Linked DNA regions of Saccharomyces cerevisiae S288C. The gene in region 1 interacts genetically with each later gene. Each region holds a gene or a part of one and is shown on either strand. Other genes may lie near its edges. The genes, in order: SPT4, BUR2, RTR1 and HOT1.

Evidence for each region.
Region 2: mutations in SPT4 (region 1) and BUR2 are lethal when combined (synthetic lethality), as found in Saccharomyces cerevisiae (2 studies listed by BioGRID).
Region 3: mutations in SPT4 (region 1) and RTR1 are lethal when combined (synthetic lethality), as found in Saccharomyces cerevisiae (one study listed by BioGRID).
Region 4: mutations in SPT4 (region 1) and HOT1 impair growth when combined (synthetic growth defect), as found in Saccharomyces cerevisiae (one study listed by BioGRID).

Annotation. Positions count from the first base shown.
Region 1 is NC_001139.9:616,412-620,593, forward strand, and holds SPT4 (transcription elongation factor SPT4), read right to left. Parts: upstream 1,414-4,182; coding exon 1,105-1,413; downstream 1-1,104. Other genes in the region: membrane insertase COX18, read right to left, coding at 1-867; VHT1 (Vht1p), read right to left, coding at 1,666-3,447.
Region 2 is NC_001144.5:586,790-591,926, forward strand, and holds BUR2 (Bur2p), read left to right. Parts: upstream 1-2,564; coding exon 2,565-3,752; downstream 3,753-5,137. Other genes in the region: UCC1 (Ucc1p), read left to right, coding at 1-784; YLR225C (uncharacterized protein), read right to left, coding at 906-2,129; ADY4 (Ady4p), read right to left, coding at 3,773-5,137. UniProt on the Saccharomyces cerevisiae protein: Component of the BUR kinase complex involved in transcription regulation.
Region 3 is NC_001137.3:449,012-453,889, forward strand, and holds RTR1 (RNA polymerase II subunit B1 CTD phosphatase RTR1), read right to left. Parts: upstream 2,233-4,878; coding exon 1,552-2,232; downstream 1-1,551. Other genes in the region: YER137C-A (gag protein), read right to left, coding at 1-13; YER138W-A (uncharacterized protein), read left to right, coding at 463-567; EMP65 (Emp65p), read left to right, coding at 2,554-4,224; COX15 (Cox15p), read left to right, coding at 4,448-4,878. UniProt on the Saccharomyces cerevisiae protein: RNA polymerase II subunit B1 C-terminal domain (CTD) phosphatase that dephosphorylates 'Ser-5' of the CTD and regulates RNA polymerase II during the transition from 'Ser-5' to 'Ser-2' phosphorylation.
Region 4 is NC_001145.3:603,555-609,611, reverse strand, and holds HOT1 (Hot1p), read right to left. Parts: upstream 3,632-6,057; coding exon 1,472-3,631; downstream 1-1,471. Other genes in the region: DDR48 (DNA damage-responsive protein 48), read right to left, coding at 1-923; EAR1 (Ear1p), read left to right, coding at 4,092-5,744. UniProt on the Saccharomyces cerevisiae protein: Required for a complete transcriptional response to osmotic stress, through recruitment of HOG1 followed by pol II recruitment to the promoters of GPD1 and other HOG-dependent genes.

The DNA.
Region 1 (4,182 bases):
AAGGAATGGAGCCTGTGAGGACATTGCTAGCATAACGACACAACCGAGTCTCGATACGTTCAGTATACTAGTCATTGCCTCTTGGACTCTTGTCGAATTCCTTGAAATTGTCTTTATACCTTGCGATGACAAACTTGAGCTAAACATCAGTCGGCCATTGAGTTCCACGTTTAATACCGCCAGAGTCCCCACCAAAATGGGCGCTAGTAGAGGCATTGCTACTAGCGGTGAGCTTAGATCAAAGGAACTGAAACCCAGTGCGGAAAACCAGGAAGGATAAAAACTTTCTATAAGCTGTGTCTCTGTTAGGGTCCTGATGCCCATGGAGACTGTGACCCAAAGAGGAATTTGCACCATTGGCAGTAAGGCATTTTTCCATAGGGGTACATTGTACTTCTTGAATAATTTTTTCTGCCTCTTTCTTGTCTCTTTCACTGCCAATAGTGTAATTTGTTCTGGTGTCAAAACGCCAGCATTCTGTAGTTGTAACGGCATGAAAGAACCGTTGGAGCTAATTCTGGCGGCATTTCTAGACTTTTTATTAGTAACGGCTGCCAGTCGAAGTTTAATAATGGGCGTTATTGGCTGTACTAATTTCCTCAGTTCTTGTTGTTTCAAAATTCTCCTCCGCTGCCATATACTGAATGGCAGCGTCACGAGGGTTCTAAGGGTCATAGTAGTCAAAGGAACAAGCACTATCCATGGTATATGTGAGGCTTCATGCACTGTTAAAAACGTGTCCGCTACACTTTGAAAAAGTGAAAAGCTTCTCTTTGTACTTGGATTAGTCCTACCATATCGCAGACCGACTGAGCTGCACGAGAATGACGCAAAACCATTTTGACGATTGGCTAACCTCTTTAACATAATGCCATACTTTATCTTGAAATTTTCCTATCCTTGGACCTTTTTTTTCTAATGAAAGTCTTTTTAGCCTTAGTTGAATTACTGGACGGTAGAAAAATTGGGTTTGCCAGCAAAAACAAAAGTGCAGAACGTTAAATAAATGAAAGCATAAACTCATATGCTAGAATATTTACTAAAAAAAAAAAAAAGTAAAAAAAATTCATTACTATTATACATGTGATATCAGAACGGAAGGTTTTACTCAACTTGACTGCCATCCCTCGGTTTGTAGTGAGGCAACAGCTCCACAACCTCAGCTGGTAGTCTACCATCGACCTTGATGGCGTACATACCAGCTATACTATGATCTACGCTCAGCCACTTTGCTACCCACGACTTAGTAGGCTTACACATTCCTACGAGGCCCTCGAAAGAAGGCGACGTACATTCCATTGTAGAAACACCTGCCTCTTCAAAAATACCCTGACAGTTGGGACAACCATCTCTATTAAACTCATTTGTGGTCTGCACTATGCCACACAGCATACAGGCTCTTTCACTAGACATCTCTTACACTGTACCTCGTTCGCTTTTGCCAAACTGAATGTGGCCAGGTGTAATTATTACACAGTACATCCTTCGAGCCCTTTCTTAAATTTCACTTTTTCACTCGATTTCACTCATAGAACGTATAAGGTGACCTTTATCAACATCGAGATTAATTATAGATAGAAGATGATTAAATTATATACATGAATATATTTATTTGAGGTATGGTGTCTAAAGCGTAATATACCTATCTACTTCACGTAAATTGGACTACGAGGACCGCTTTAAATAGTAGTAACCATCTCTTTCCTCCATATTTTTCTTTACAAATTCTGGAAGCTCTTCACCCTTATTACTATCATACAAGATGATACCATTACCTAGAGCATGTTTCTTTTCGTTTCTCTTGTAAAAAAAAAGTACAACAAACGTCCATAAACCGTAAATAGCACCAAAAATTAAGCTCACGGTGTAACCAGTCTTAAAACGTGGTGACTCCACGGTAGGCCACGCCAAGGTAGGAATCCAGGCGTAAGTGGATTGAGAGAAGGAATAAATGGCGATCCATGTAATAGCCTTCACCTGAGGATCAAACCTTAAGAAGTCATTAATAAACGACCATAGACAAGGCGATGCGGCCACACTGAAATACGTGGTGAAGAAAGCGTACCATTTAGCTTTCGAAGGAATATCCCACTTGATAAGTAAGGCACAAGAAACGGTATTCATTATAGCAGCAAAAACCATGAATATCCACTTACATCTAAATAAATCGGCACCAAAGGCACAAAAAATCACATACGCAAATCCTAAACATGCGGGTATAACACTCAGGTTGTTCACTTGGGCAATGGAGTACTTTGTATTAGACTTTAACCACAAAGTATATGAACCACTATACGCAGTCATGTTATTCCACGAACATGTATCAAAAACAACAAGTACCCAGAATGCTGGAGTACAAAATACTTTCTTCCAAAGTTTTCTGCTCCATAATGGGGCTAGCTTACTTTTATCAACACCATCTTTGATTTGGTTCCTCTTATTTCTGGCCCTTGCAATTCGTATTTCTTCGTCAGTCAGAAATAAAGAGTAACACTTAGATGGTACACCGGGAATAACAAAAAAACCAATAATAGCCGTGGGAAGAGAAATTGCAATGGCATCGATCAGAAACATCCATCTCCAGCCTGCTAGACCATGGACGCCGTTCAAACTTTTGAATATGCGACTTTGCAGAAGTCCTGAAGTCACGGAACCCAATTGTTGCCCACAAAAGAATAAACAGACTCTTGAATTAATTTCATCTGGGGCATACCAACAACCTAGTATATATTGGGACACTGGGTAGTAAGCAGCGCCAAAGGCACTTAAAATAAATCTGTAAGCCCTTAGTTCGGCTAGTGAGTTTGCCCTATAACATGCAAATGTGAACCAAGTCCAGCCCAAGTCCATTACAGGCAAAATAATATGAGAGGGAAATCTTGGTAACAAATACATAAATGGTAATTGGAAGACAATGGCACCAACATTAGCAATAGTAGAAGTGTAAACGTAATCATTACCTTTCATGTTTAAATCTTCCTTCATATTGGAAACATATGCGTTAGTGTAGTTATTCAAATCCACTGACTTGGACCAACATAACATAAAAAAGTATAAAGCAATAATAATGTCTAGCTTGTAAAGAAGCCGTCTTTCAGCCTTGGTTTGAGTAGTATGATTAGGATACAAAAACTCGTACCACTTACGTGATTTCTTGTATTCCTTATTAACACGATACTCGAATTCATCAAAATATTTCCACCATTTACGCCCAGCTTCATCTCTCACTTCATATGGCAAGTCATGCCTTAAATTGTGAGGATGAGGTTCTACAGCTGTAGTTTCTGCCGTAACGTCTGTCTTCGAGGACTTATCTACGCTATGATGTAGCTCCTCTTCAGCTATGATACTGGAGTTAGTATCGTCTGAGTATAAGTACTGATCATCTTCGGGTAGTTTTCTCAAATGTGGGAAGTAGCTCCTCCACGATTTATTCGAAATTGTCATTATCTATTGATTTGTGTCGGTCCTTTTTTGAAAATTGAAACAAATGAAAAGGCGATTGCTCGTGGGTGTAGAGCCTTTATATATAGTTATGTTATAGCCGTAAGAGTCATGCAGATTTTTGGGAATGGCTATCATCAAACTTAGCCTTGCATCTCATATTTCGACTTTTTTTTTCATTTCACACATTTTTTTTTCCTTTCACAGTTGGGTGAAAGAGTCTCGGAGGCGGTACGGCGCTTTCTGTGTAAATCATCCTAAAGTGATTCATAATCTCAGAGCCATTTCGGGTGAACTAATGATGATTTTCTAGTAGACTACGGCAGTATCTTAGCTGACGCAATTGTAGCAATGGAGGCAATCATGTTAGTAAAGGACATTTTAGTTGTAGGAGCATAGGATCGACAGGCCATGTGAAAGGCGTACTAGCAAAGATTGAAGTAATGAGAATAATTGACGATGATTTTAATTTGAGCTTTTCAATGCAGCCGAATTCAGCAGTAGTTGCAGAACCGGACTAACACTTGAAAAAATCCCACGAGCCAGCTGCCGTCTAAGGATATTGTAATAAAGTTGGGCTTAAACTAAAGTTTTTATATCTTGGTTGTAAGGTTGTAATCATTCGTCTCAAGAAGAACGTTGAGTAATCATTAGTCCTCCGCATAAGTAGGTTGCCAATAACTTGTTCAGCAATGATGGTTGCAGCATATCCTCGCTAACGTTTTACTTACCAAATAT
Region 2 (5,137 bases), on another chromosome or scaffold:
TGCGCTGCAATATCCTGGAAAGATAATTAATATGGGATGGGACAAATATACCAAAAGTCAAGATTCAAATGGTTCTGATTCTACCAGTAACTTTAATAGTCGGCCCAAGGAAAGAACTCTTATGCAGTCGTTGACAGCTTTACCTGTTAACTTTTGGTCCAGGAGGAAGGACGAGCCTACACCGGTAAACGTTTGGTTTTATGTAAAAAATGCGCACGTTGCCAGATACATACCGAAAATTATTACGGAAATAGGCATATGCAACTATGGGCCGAAGCAGATCGTGGCAAGTGCAGGATATATCAACGAATTGATAACATCTGAAGGAATATACTGTGTTAACCTAGGCCACCTTCCCAGGCTATACGATGAGCAAATTTTTGAAGGCACTGGAACGACACATCTTCCCCTGGAACTGAAAGCTATCGACAGGACAGATTCAGATGTTTGTATCAATGGTGATTTAGTTCTACTCGGTTATGACTTTATTCCATATCAGATATCGAAGCCGTGGTTACTCTTTAGAATCGAACCCGTAAATAGCATTGAAGCAATCTTCAACTATAGTGAATGTTCTTTTTCATACCAGTTTGCATGGAGTTTGGCCTGCTTACAATCTGAAGAGAAAATTTCATTTCCTAGAGACACGATAATTGGGCACGGTTTACCTTACAAGCCATCCAAATTGATAAGAATTTTCGTCTACAAGCATCCGGAACAAAAGCAAGATCTTGGTCAAGAAATAGCATTGCCCAACTGGAATACCCCTTATCTTCGAAGATGAAAAAAAAATTTATCAATTAGTCTATAATATATGTGTATATACGTCTATGCACCTACCTACTTATAAATGGATATAATATTCTTGCAATGATGAAAATATGTATAGTCAAATTTCATTTTTTTCAATTGATAAATGTACTTTCAATGATGGAAACTCCTTCATCGTCATCGAATTTAGACTTCTGGCAGAATTGGTAAATGAATGGCTTCATGTTTGCCAGATTTTCAGCAATAGACCTAATGAAAGCGGGCAGCTCACTCATTATATCGTACCTATTGACTAATCTTAAATTAGATTCTTCAAAACCACGCGGAAATGAAATGGATGTAGGATATTTCCAACCATTTTGCTTATCCTCTTTTGTAGATGGAAATTTAACAGCATGATCATTTACACTTGACCCGACCTCCAAAATTTTGTCCTTATCACTAACCGCCCATATAGTCACTGTAGTGCTGCCATATTCTTTTGTTGTGGTGAATTCAATACACATCATCGAACGCTTCTCACCATTGAAACAAAGAAAATTCCATTTACTAGCCGCCTTATTGGGTATTAGCCCCTGGACAGCATCCAGATACAACATAGGCGTGTCCTTCAAGTCCAGCTTCACAGGTTTATCGTTTTTCTTGTATGAGATGGTACCATTGCAAAAACCTCTAGGAACAAAAACATGTCTTATCATTTTTCTGGACGTACTAGAAGAGTCTCTTTTTGCTAACTCTTCCAAGCTGATGCTCTTGTCAAGGTAATAATTGGAACCGTCCGGGTTTATTATGAATCCTTCTTGTAAATTTACGGTAATGTCAACCTTCAAATCTTTTAGTAAACAGCTTGTACTTCCCTTCGGAATATCTATCTTAATTAATAATTGAGCAAATCCACTGGAGGAAGAATTTTCCAAAGGTACGAAGTGAAACGTAACATTGTCCGATTCAACTTTTAACGTATCAAAATCTTTGATATTATCAATTTTAAAGCTTTCCCATATATCAATGTCTTCTTCAGAGTTTTCCTCACTGCTGGCTTTAAATATTTTGAAATTTAACTGAAAACCTTTGTATATACCGCCCATAACACTGGAATATAATAGTTGAATTAATCCACATTTGCCGTTGGTGAGATCCGTAAAATACAGAGTTTGTGTCTCTATTCTTGTTTCCGTTGGATTTCTTACTGCTTTTAATAAACTATGTGACTTGAACTTTTTGTGATTTGACGTCCTGCAAAACCATTCTAGTTTCGATGTATCCTGAAATTTAGTATAATTAGCATGATCCTTCTCGGATAAAACTTCCTTAACGGGGGCAAATTTCGTCTTCTCCTTTTTGATCGCAACCGCCATTTTTTCTTTGCTCTATGATTTTTATGTTAATTAAACTGTTCGTTGCCCTAAAATTTTGAAAATTTCTCGAATATTTAGAGAGAATCCGTCACTATTTTAGTATCTATCTTGTCTATTTATATATAAAATCTCATTCCCCTGTTATGGTTTTTGCCAAGCCCTATCCCAAAAAACCAAATGATACATGATAAACCTATTTATCCTCTTTAACAGACCTATCGTTTAAAGCTTTTTTATTGCAAACCCTATTCATTATGGCTTTTTGACCTAGGTCTCATTGTGACTTCTATTTTTCACTGTTCAGTAAAAAAAGAAAAGTGATTAAAAAGTATCACTATTTCTGTTAGAAAGCAAGTAGCTATTTTGATTGGTAATTATATACACATATTGAAGGAGGCCGTAGTATTTTCGTTTAAAATATATTACAGTAAGATAATGTCTGCTACATCTTCAAGTGGTGACGTGAAAAAATTTCAAGCTGTACCAAAACCAACGAGCAATGCATCACCACCACCAGCATCGAGTGGGTTTAACGCAAGGACCCTATGGCCGGATTTGATAGAAACACCAGAAAACCAGTGGGTTTTTGAGTGCAAAGATATTATTGAAAAGATAGGCACTAATGGACCGATAGCAGTGGAAATAAAAAAAAATATGGAAAAATGCTTAATGTACTTTTACACACTTAAAAAAAAATTAAATCTTTTTGATCACACCTATACGGCATCATGCATTCTATTTTACAGGTATTGGTTCATATATGGAATACCTACAGCCATAACTGAATGTATTCATATATCACAGGGAATTCTGGTCACCGCTTGCAAAACAATGGAGAATAATAGGCCTATAGAGGCCTATATTAAGGCGACTTGTGAGTTTTTGATGCAAAATATACCGTCTTTAAAAAGTCGAACAAATATTGATAAACTTAAATGGGAATTTAGAGATAAGTTAGTGACGAATGAAAAAAAAATACTATGTTTATTTGGCTTTGACTTAAATATCAGTAATCCAAAAGAATTGATTGAAGAAGTGTTCAGTGGCTATTATAGATTCAACAGGGATCACAATCTGCCAGAAAACTTTAAAAAAGCTTTTCCAAAAATTCTTCAAGAATCAAGAAATTTTATGGTCCAAGCTGTCACCCAGCCAGTTTCTTTATTGTGCGACGGTTATACGTTCATTGTACTATCTCTCATATACTGTGGTTTAGAGTATAAAAAGCTTGTAGACAAAGATTTCAGATATCCGAAAAACTTCTTCAAGGATAGATTCCCTATCGAAGTAACGCCGGAAAATTTTGCCAATATCTTTACCGATTACAAGTTACTGGAAGAGAATTTTTTCAACTTAAAAAGTAATAAAGGTGCTAAATTACAAATTGATTCAAGCATGATTGATTCGGTGATTGACGAAAGTGGCGATGTGGAAAATGAAGTTTCAGAAATCTCTGATCCGTTTAACTACGAGTTGATTAAATCCGGTGAGGTGAAGGAAGAGTTTTTGAATCATATTGAAACAAGGGTTAAAGATTTACTAGATAAGGCTAAACAAGAAAGTATGAAGAGAAAGGCTAAAGATCCTATAAGAACCCCAGATGCCAAAAAACCTAAAATATAAAAATAGAGTACAAGTTATGTTTAATTGGAGGGATCAGTAAAGGTTTGATATATACGTGACAAAATGTCCGGCAAGTTCCCTATGTTATCCTGATAGCAATATTTCCAATACTCAATCCAATGATCATCTGTTTCTGGATCTTTAGGTGAGTCAAAGCGCAGTTTCTGCTTCAATTTTGTTTTCATCTTGTCTATTATTATTCTGGGATGTCTGAATTGGTAAGTTCGGGGATGATAATCGTCCAGAGATTCTGAACAGTCATTATCTTCGGATATTTTTTCAGCAACAAGTAATTTCCCCTCCATAGCAGTCAACAGTACCTTAGGTAGTTGGTAGTCAGTTACTTCATCAGGATTGTCACAAGCATCAATAATATTTTCGATGATACATAAGCATTCTATGGTCAATTTATCCATTTCAGATGATGCTTCGAATGTGTATTCATTATCTTGCATATAGTATAGTTTTAATACATAAAAAAACTGGATAACTTTAAATTGAACACCTGATGAAAGTAATAAGCCTTCCAGAATTTTATTCAAGCAGCATATAATCTGAGGGTCATTTTTAAGTTTGAAAGTTATTGACAGAATATTTTTTTGAATTGTTTCATTCATGTGGTTACTATCTACTAATAGTCCGATTCTGGGACCGAACACATCACATTCACACTCCCAAATTTTTCCTCTCAGAATGGCTAACATTTCTTCGATTTCTGCACAATACTGAAAAAACTGACTAAAAACAAAATTTTCATTGACCTTTGAAAATTTAAGCGTTATCTTATCCATCGCATCGAAAGCGACGCAGTATAACGCCTCAATAACATCTACCTCGTCGAGTGACCAGTGCCATTGAAGTGACTTGGTCTCCTCATTTAAATCGAAGCCATGGGAATAATTAGGGTTTTGTCTTTTGATAAAATTTTTTAGATTATTGCCTACCAATGCTTCATTTTCTTTCAAATCAATTAGAAAACAGTGGCAACACAACATGGATATAAATAGTTCGCAAAGTTCATAAAAAGCTCCAATTTGCTCGTCTGCGATACTTGCAAATAGTCTTGTCCTTTTTGAGTACGCAATGAATTGTAAGCACCAGCGAAAAGATTGAAATGCGAGGTTATAATTTTTATCTACATGACCAAATACTCCTTGAAATAATTTTATATATAGTACCAGTTTTAATTTATTCATTGTCTCTGGATCGGCTTTATCTTTCTTCATTATCTTGATGATATGTTTTGGACCCATCGCAAGATTAAAGTTTAAAATTTTGGCCAGCGCTTCTTTCAGAAGGTTATTGGTTTGAATCCTTAATGGTGAACCTTTTTTCATGATCGAAAGATTATAAAAAACTACATGGTACGGAATATAAAGAGCCAA
Region 3 (4,878 bases), on another chromosome or scaffold:
GTTGGGATTCCATTGTTGATAAAGGCTATAATATTAGGTATACAGAATATACTAGAAGTTCTCCTCGAGGATATAGGAATCCTCAAAATGGAATCTATATTTCTACATACTAATATTACGATTATTCCTCATTCCGTTTTATATGTTTATATTCATTGATCCTATTACATTATCAATCCTTGCGTTTCAGCTTCCACTAATTTAGATGACTATTTCTCATCATTTGCGTCATCTTCTAACACCGTATATGATAATATACTAGTAATGTAAATACTAGTTAGTAGATGATAGTTGATTTCTATTCCAACACATCTACTAACTAGTATTTACGTTACTAGTATATTATCATATACGGTGTTAGAAGATGACGCAAATGATGAGAAATAGTCATCTAAATTAGTGGAAGCTGAAACGCAAGGATTGATAATGTAATAGGATCAATGAATATTAACATATAAAACGATGATAATAATATTTATAGAATTGTGTAGAATTGCAGATTCCCTTTTATGGATTCCTAAATCCTCGAGGAGAACTTCTAGTATATCTACATACCTAATATTATAACCTTAATCACAATGGAATCCCAACAATTACATCAAAATCCACATTCTCTACAAATGAAGAAACTGCTTATAGTCAATTGAACGATTTACCGGTATTTTAACGCCATTATATATATTAGTAAAAAGATGGCGTATATTGATGGACTAACAGGGTCAAATAAAATCATGAATTGACTAGTATATACTTATAAGTATATCGTTCTACACAAACTAGGAAGATGACATACATGATGAGAATTGGTTATCAAATTCCATGGATGCCGAAACGTAAAAGATTTACTAAATAGTAGGATAATTATTGATAACATACAAAACAAAAAAAAAAGAGACAATATTATTATCTAGAAGTGTCGACTTCCTTCTGTGGGTTTCCTATGTTCTCGAAGAGAGCTTCAAGTGTATTCTATAAACTAAGAATATTAGTTTAACGAAAGATCGAAGTCAGACACCTATCTAACTTTCATTAAATTATCACACAAAAATCCCACATACTCTCGTCTTGCTAAACAAATAATAAATTGAAGGTGAACGATTCTTCTTGCAGCGTCCTAGCTGTTGGGTCGTCTTAGATAAATATCTACTGTTCTGAATTGCCAAATTTTCCTTCTATTGTATCCATTCGATGCTGGACGGCCAGTTCTACCGTTATTGCCCAAAAGGAAGGAACGTCGCGATACTTCAACACATTAAATACTTGTTGATTTTCGAACCAAAACTCTGAAGCAACACTTTCGTATATGGATGGCCCTTCAGAGAAACCAATAGGTATGTAAAGAATTGCTACGTGGTGACTCAAAGTGAATTATAGCAAAGTTATAAAAGCGCTACATTGTAGAAAATTGAGAACCACATTTTGACATACACGAATAACAGTATTTTTGTCCTGGCGCTGTAAAGTATTTTAAGTTATGATGATGAATTAACTATTTTCAGCCAATGAAACGTCCATAATCTGTTCTGAATTTAGGTGCATTGATATAGCCGGTCAATCTTCCCTTGTGAAATCACCCAAAATGCTGGGATTATCATTCTCAACAATTTTGATTTGTGCCAACCACTTCGATAAATCATCTTCCAGCTCAGTATCATCTTTTTCTGTAGTCCCACTGTCAGGATTTAATCCTAACTTTTTGAGACCGGATATCAATGATTTAATGTCTTCTTCGGATGCCTTTTCTCTTAGCAACTCTTCAAACAAAGTCACTTTGAAATCTATATCGTGTTTGTCCTGTTCAGGATCTTCAAATAGGTGAACCCCTGTTCTTGCAAATAAAGCTTCATCAGATAGTTGCACTTGATAAAATTGGGAACATCTAAAATGGAACTTACTGCAATAGTGCGACAAATATGCATACGGATTGTTTTCTAATAAAAATTTCTTAGTAGTATCATTCATTGAAAATGGATCACGTATTCTTTCTGGCGATTTACCGCAAAGAGGATATCCGCATCTTTTGTTTAGATTCCTCTCATCTACTAGGTCTTGATACATATCCGGTGTGAGAAATCGGCCCAAATATTTCAATGTTTTCTCATCCTTGCATTCTGAATCACATAATAAGCCTATAATCTCTAAAGTTATAACTTCTGCTTCATGCATGGAAAGTTGCCTGTGCTTTTGGAAAGGGATTAACGCCGTTTCCTTAATATCTTCAATCGTCGCCATTTCTTATTCTTGTTAACTTCGTCCTAATTTTTCAAACTAAGATGCCGATGTATAGATATTTTAGACTGGGAATGTTTATGAATTGTTCAATTCGCTCCTCAATGTGTCTCTTTCTTCACTTTTCCATTGCTTTTGACCACTTCTGGATGCCAGCTGATTTTGTATTGTAGTATTCCTATTTCGGACAAAAATATCGGAAAGAGATGAAATAAGAAAATTAGTTACTTTTAATATCACGATGCTGTCTCTGAATCGACCTGATCGATCTATAAGGTGTATATATTATTCTACCGAGTAATCCAAAAAAAAAGCAGCACTCCCATGCAACACAAGGATACGGCAGTAGCGAAGGACACAGCTAAAAAACGTTTACTGAGAAGAAATAGTGCGCCGTCAGCTATACATATAATTTCACGATTAGACAAAAAGTGGTCCTTCCTATGGAATACTATAGATAGACACAATATTGTTGAAGAGCAAGATGAAAGTAGCGCTGCAAAAAGCGAAGAAGAACATGAGGATGATTATGAATTGGAACAATTACTCAACATGATAAGAATACCAATGTTCCTGGAAAAGTTCATGCTCTTTGCACTTTTAACAAGCTTGGACTGTTTTTTGTATTACTTTACTGTATTACCGATACGACTGATAAAGGGATATGTAAAGCAATTCAAGAGTTATCGTCAGCATTATCGCCTGCAACAACGGTCTGGGCATAAGAATAAAATACCCTTTCGATATAGAATAACTTCAAGAGAATATAAAGAGAGATGTATGATTTTTATCATCGTGATTTCATCCATTTTGTTGAGCAAACTAGACACCTCAAAACTATATCACAGGATAAAACGGCAAAGTACGATGAAATTGTACATGCTATTCAGTGTACTGGAAATGGCGGACAAAATGTTGGCAAGTTTGGGCCAGAGCTTATTAACGGTTATGCTTTCTAGGAAAAACTCGGAACGGATATTACTGCATAAATGTTTGTTAGTGTCAATGAGCTTGACATATGTGACTATACACGGCTATGTATTGGTTTACCAGGCCATTTCATTAAACATAGCCGTGAATTCGTATTCCAATGCCTTGCTAACTTTATTACTATCCATGCAATTTGCAGAAATCAAATCATCGGTTTTAAAGAAATTTGATAAGGAGGGATTTTTCCAAATAACCATTGCAGACGTAGTGGAAAGATTTAAGTTGACCTTATTATTGTCAATAACTGGCCTTAGGAACCTCCAGTCGTGGTCATCTTCATTATCGAACACAAGCATCAATTTCTGGAGTCCACGTTCCACATTATCAATCGTCATTAACATACTTTGTGGGCCGATGGTAAGCGTGGTAGGGAGTGAAGTGTTAGTGGATTGGGCAAAGCATGCTTACATCACAAAATTCAATCGGATCCGCCCACAGATATATGATAAGTTCTATTATATAATATACAAGGATTATTCTACGAGAACGCACAAATTAGAAGATAGATTGGGATTGCCTTTACCTGCATTCGTTGTCCTTTTTATTGTAATGGTGAGGCCAACACTTTTTAAATCATCGGAACCTTCTTACCTTCCTTCGCTATTTAGGATCCTCTTCATGGGGGCATCCGTGTTTTTACTAGCATTGTTGGCAAAATTTACACTAGATCTTATTTTAATCAAATGGAGCAAACGGATAGAGCAACGGTTCAGAGACCAAGCTTTCAATACCGTTGTAACTGAAGAAGAATACGTCCCAGGTTTACTCTCGGGCGGTATGGGTAAAGTCGACGTGTCTACAAGAATTGCATTACATTCTGATTACAATAAAGAGAATCGTATAGAGACCGAAAGTGTATCGCCAATGCGGAAAAGAAAAACTACTTTAACTGCTGAATGTACTCCTCCTAGCCTAAATGATATTAGAAGACAGAAAGATTCCAAGAATCCACGATCGCTTGAAAATGTCGCTCGCTATAAAATGGTTTCTAAAAGAATATGGTAATCTAAGATCCGCATTTATCGCGGCTTACGGCTTTCGGATATTTCGTATATTGCAAGGAGCAAAAAAGAAACCCTGCTTACTAAAAAGCTATTGTTTTGCAGTTTATAAGTTCTTGCCTTTTGAATTATTGATCTTTCCTTTATCGTTTATTTAGTTTCCTATTGTAACTTGGAACTGTATTATATAATAGTGCACAGCACTGAAGTTGTAACTACTGTACGTCATGCTTTTCAGAAACATAGAAGTGGGCAGGCAGGCAGCTAAGCTATTAACGAGAACCTCGAGTCGTTTGGCCTGGCAAAGTATTGGGGCCTCAAGGAATATTTCTACCATCAGACAACAAATCAGAAAGACTCAACTATATAATTTTAAGAAAACTGTGAGCATCCGTCCATTTTCTCTCTCCTCCCCTGTTTTTAAACCACATGTTGCTTCAGAATCAAACCCTATAGAATCACGTTTGAAGACCTCGAAGAATGTTGCTTACTGGTTAATAGGTACATCCGGTTTGGTATTTGGTATTGTTGTTCTTGGTGGGTTGACTAGACTAACAGAATCGGGGCTGAGTATTACCGAATGGAAACCTGTCACAGGTACTTTGCCCCCTATGAACCAGAAGGAATGGGAAGAAGAATTTATCAAGTATAAGGAATC
Region 4 (6,057 bases), on another chromosome or scaffold:
TTCTTGTTGGAAGAACCGTAAGAGTCGTCGTTATTGGAAGATCCGTAAGAATCATCGTTGCTAGAAGAACCGTAAGAGCTCTTATTCTTGTTTGACGAACCGTAAGAGTCGTCATTGTTGGAACCGTAAGAGTCATTGTTGTTGCTGGAGCCGTACGAATCGTCATTGTTAGAACCATAAGAGCTCTTCTTCTTGTTGGAAGAACCGTAGGAATCATCGTTGTTAGAGCCATATGAATCATTGTTGTTAGAACCATATGAATCATCGTTGTTAGAACCATACGAATCGTTGTTGCTGGAACCATAAGAACTCTTCTTCTTGTTGGAAGAACCATATGAATCATCATTGTTAGAGCCATAAGAATCGTCATTGTTGGAACCGTAAGAGCTCTTATTCTTGTTTGACGAACCGTAAGAGTCGTCATTGTTGGAACCGTAAGAGTCATTGTTGTTGGAACCGTAAGAGTCATTGTTGTTGGAACCGTAAGAGTCATTGTTGTTGCTGGAGCCGTACGAATCGTCATTGTTAGAACCATAAGAGCTCTTCTTCTTGTTGGAAGAACCGTAGGAATCATCGTTGTTAGAGCCATATGAATCATTGTTGTTGGAGCCATATGAATCATTGTTGTTAGAGCCATATGAATCATTGTTGTTAGAACCATATGAATCGTTGTTATTAGAACCATATGAGTCGTTGTTGTTGGAGTCGTTGTCATTTATAGAGGTATTAGAAAATTGTTGACGAACCTTGGACTCCATCTTATCAAATCTGTCCTCTCCGATTTTGCTTTTGAATTGATTGACTCTATCTTCGCCGATCATATTCTCAGCTTTGGTAACATAATCGCCTTGATTGTTATTGCCAGAATCATTGTTGTTATTATTGCTGTTAGCAAATTGCTTCACTTTATCAAATAAACCCATTGCTGTTTTTTTCGTTCACTTATAATACCGTATATATCAGTCTATTAAAGCCCTACTCTACAAAAGAAAAAATTAATTGTAAGACATTTTCGAGAAATTCTTTTTTTATTACATAAAAATTAATGCCTTCTTATATAATGGAAAGGGGGGCGTTGTTAAATGAAATCTCAACGTGGTTGTAAGAGTTCTTGTACGACATTCTTTTCCTTTTTCCCTTTTTCGTCGGTGCCAAGCTTGTATGGCCACAGCTAAGGGGCGATTTGTCATCCTCGAACCTTCGGAGTGGTTTTTTCACCTTCCCGAAGGTTTTTAAAATCAACCACGCCAAAACTGTGGTGGGCCAGGCCAGCACCGGAAACCGCTTTGTACGCATTGATTTACGTCATATGCACCCTTCTCAGAATAAGAGATGTGTATGATTCGTACTTTTCAATCTCAAAAAGAAAACAGCACTAACGATTTTTGTAGATTTACAGAATGTATTTATGTTACACTTGTTTTTTCCTTCCTTCCTATGATTGTAAACGATTATTTACTATCGTACGTGCCTATATTCCAGCAAGGCTCTCTTGCAACCAGCCAATGGTTCTTTTCTTTACTTCGCCATCCTCATCATCTTTATATAGCCTTTTGTTCTCTAAGGTTTCTATCATCTCTTGTGCCGTTTTACCTCTCTCCATACCGTTCAGAATGAACTTGTACAATCTTTTTCGCCTTGAAAAGGTCTTCTTATTTTTATTGAGCCTCCACTTGTTACCATACTTGGCCTCAAGATGCTTGATCGATGGCTTTCCTCTTATTCCAGTATCATACTCTTCCCATATAGTCTTTACGTCAGTGGGAGCCTTCAATATCCTATAATGTAAATCAGAGTTTATGTTGGGCTTAGTAGCCGACTCGCCGTGAAGCTTTCTTCTACCGTTTAAAGAGTTACTTTTTTTATGATGCAAGCTCCTCCTCCGCTTGTTAATCGAAGCGTTCTTCATATCTGTTTCGATTTCATCATCTACTTCATCTTCCTCAGCAGTGCTGTCTTCTTCATTATCCCTTCCATCACCTTCGTCATCACCGTCATCATCATCATCCTCTTGATAGCCATCATCGTCGACATTACTTTTCACTGTCATTGGTTTTGGGTACGACGGTAGAGTAGAAGCTCTGTTTCTATTTACAATATTCGTGTTCACCCCTGACTTACCACTCGGTAACAATTCAGATGTCGTGCTATCCTGATTGATCAATTGGGAAAATGATAGAGGCTGCTGGGTATTATTTATAATAGGGGGTATAACATTTTGATTTGGGGGAAAAGAAGCGTTATCTAGGGCTAAGCTGGGCAAACTTAAAGCTGTTGTCGTGCCAAAGTTATTCAATGAATTTAAGTCATGAAATGAATTTGAAGCACTGGTGACGCCTGAATGAATGGAAGAATTGGTATAATTCATGCTAGTTGTAGAATTATGAGAATTCGTTAATGGAGATAGGGCTGATATGGGCTTTTGTGCAGCACTAGCATGGTCATTTGTGCTCGCATTGTTGTTACTTTGCGTATTTCTTCTGCGCCGTTTAATCCCATTTGGGTTCAACTTGAATGGCTTGTCAGTTGAAGCGTTCGGGAAACTAATAGGCGAGCGATTTACCTGCTGATGTGTATTTGTGTTATGAATTAAAACCTGCGACTGGTTCTGATTGGCTTGTGTGTTTATAACAGGACCAAGTTGTCGGTTAGGGAGCGATTGGTTTATATTTTGGGAAACATTATTTCGATTATGCTGCTGATCAGGTAAGATAGTATTTAGTGCGTTAGAAAATTGGTTGTTTAGCTGTGCAGTATTCGTATTCACATCTATGGTTCCATTCGTAGTCCGATGCTGGTTGATACCAGAATGGGTGTTGGAATCTCCTGTACATAAATCAGCAGTATGCTGTCTACCAGAGCCATTATTCTGCATTTTCTGCAAGTAAGCACTACTAACGGCTGATATCGAATTTAGCAATTCGATAGCAAGCTTATTTTGGGCATTGTTTGTGCTTGGGCGCGCGCTTGGCTGCGCAACCAACTTAAGTAATATATTCAATTTGTTCATAACTTTATAGTTATCTTGTTTTAGGTTTAAAACCATTGTATTCTGTTCCGCGATCTTATTAGATAACTTGTTGAAGCTTTCCTCCATCTCAATCATTCGGGCACTCATTTCGTCCATTCTTTGAAAAATCTTCAACTGATCCGTCGATATTTCGTTCGACGGTGAATCATTAGTCAAGGATTGGCTTAACATACGCCCTGTACCCGCCGTTGTCGAGTTCGAAGCGGAAACATTCGAGTTCACCCGCTCTTCATTACTCAGTTTTTCACCAATAGTTTCTGTTGGTTGACTGGTACCTGTGGGTGCTGAAATCGCTGCTGAAGTCCTCAAAAGACCTCCATCTAGTGCATTTCCATCGTTGCGAAGTGTACTGGCGTTACTGCCACTGGCGCTCTCTGAACCAGTCGTAGGCGAAATGTGAGTGGGCAGTGAGAGGTCAAGATTGATACCTATAGCATCTTCATTTACTTGACTATTCATCCTGTACCCATCCTTTAATGTAGTGGGCATCATTAAGAATAAGAAGAAAGGGCTCATCAGTGTAGAATAATCGAAGCTGATGGTTATCCTATAAATCTTTGTACGTACGATGCAAAGAATCGCAATACCCATTCCAGACATTATGCTCCAGCCATATGTACCCTAAATATAATCTTTTTTGTATATAAAAAACCTAAAAAAGAGATAACTAAACCTAGCTCAATATTTAATTTGACCTAACCCTCCGTCGGCCCTTTTTTTTTATTTTTTTCTTCGGAACGGTGCGCTATAAAGAAAAAAGGCAAATTCCAGGTTATCCATATAAACGCCATAACAAAATTTCATTGATACAGGCTTTAAGAACCTTGCTCTATTTACTACTGCTCTTTCTTCCTCTCTCAGGTTGAGCTATTTTTGAGAATAGCGCTTTACTGCTGCATGGAGGAGTGATTTTTTATAGAACATTGAAAAACCAAAGGACTGGTGCCTAACTACAAAATTTTCAAGAGTTGTTTCAAGTTATCTATATTGTCATTGGTTAATAATTATAAAAAATCTTAAAGTTTGGAGAGCCAAATTTTTTTTCTATATAAAAAAGCAAATGTCATTCAAGTTTCTGATAGAATCGCTGCTTCTCGGTTCGATAAGCGGACAAATACGGTGTGGTAGATCTTCGGTGATCCCCCGTGGCGATGTATCTTATGGGGGAGACGATACTGACGAACTTAACATGGATATAATGTTGTTTGCGTTTGGAACCTTAATCGTGGTCTACATCGTCATCTGTATCGTTTATTTTTTTACAAAACAGATAGCTACGCGGCTTATAACTGCATATTATAATGAGCATGGCCCTGGCCAAAGAATATCTTTATTCAGCGATTATGACGAAAATAATGCACACGTTCATAGCAGAAGATTAATGGAAAACATGAGTTTAAGGTGGCCCAACAATCTTGACGATGCTGATGAAGTAAGAGATAAGCTGGCACAGTTGTCACCTGAAGAGCAGTTTTATTATAAGCAAGGTGAGGAGTATATCAAGCAGAACCCACCATTTCTGCTTAACCAGGGACTTTTACAACAGTCCGAAGATAGCAATCCAGACACCACCCGTGAAGACCCTATTATGAACGAGCAAACAAGGCAATATATTCAAGAAGAGGGGGCTTATGCATGGGAGTTTAGCCCAAATCCTGATATGCCAAACCATACTGTCATAGTGGAAAATAAAACAGAGGTTTCTTTTCTAAATTATAATTATGATGCTTCTATATCCACAAATCTACCCATTCCGTGTATAAATAAAGTATATTATTGTGAATTCAAGATATTTGAAACGGATGGCCCACTAAACAGTGATGAAAATGTATCGAAAGGTGTCATCTCATTTGGTCTTTCCACACAGCCTTATCCATATTTCAGGTTACCGGGAAGACACCACCATTCGATAGCATACGATTCTAACGGCGCCAGAAGATTTAATGACTCCTTCAAACTAAATGAGCAATTAAGAACGTTATTTCCACAGTGTGAAAAGGGAGACATTGTTGGCATTGGCTATAGGTCACGTAGTGGAACAGTATTTTTCACCAGGAACGGAAAAAAACTAAATGAAAAATCTGTTGGTGGTCATATCCGCGGCTGGAAATTCCAATACCTATACCCGATCATTGGCTCCAACGTACCTTGTCAAATTCATGTGAATTTCGGCACTTATGGCTTTGTTTATATAGAAGCAAACGTTAAAAAATGGGGATACGCAAAGTCAAACGGCATTAAATTACCTCCTCCTTCTTACGAAGACTACGGTAAAGATACCCTATTAGAAAGCGGTGGTGAAGACAATGATTTCGACGAAGATTTTTCAGACGGTGATAGCGACAATATTGCGGCTGGTAGTACTACAAATCTCAATGATGATATAATTATAAGAAACGGTGAAATATTACCGCCACCACCTGGATTTGAATTCACTATGTCCCCTCCCACTGGAAAGAAGATCATCAATGAGGAAATTAATCTAGATTCCTTACCTATGCTACCACCAAGTTACTCGGACGATGAACATCATTCGAAAAATGATAAATCAGCAATAAGCGGACGAATTATTGGAACGAGCAGAAATTTAATTACTGATGAAGCATCTTTCGATAGTGTTGATAATGATAACGAAGATGAAAATGATCACGAGAGAGATCCCGAACAATTTTCAGAATTTGATGATTACGAAAGCAGGATGCATGGCATATAATACGAAAATGCATGAGATAGTAAGGCTGAAACACTAGCCCCGGTCAGTTATCTTTTTTTGCGCTGTATTACGCAGAGCCACCATTTTTTAAAAACATTGCAATTTATAACGTTTTCTTCCTTATTGAGGGTTTCAACGCTATCACCTACTCGATATCGCAGTGCAGCATATAGATATTTACATACATATATACATATGTTTACGTACACTAGTAAGGGCAACTGGTTGACCCGCAAACTTCCTTCTTACTTTCCGTACTTTTGCCATCTTTACTTGCACCTCCGTGCTACCTCTTAATGTGTCACAAGAAGAA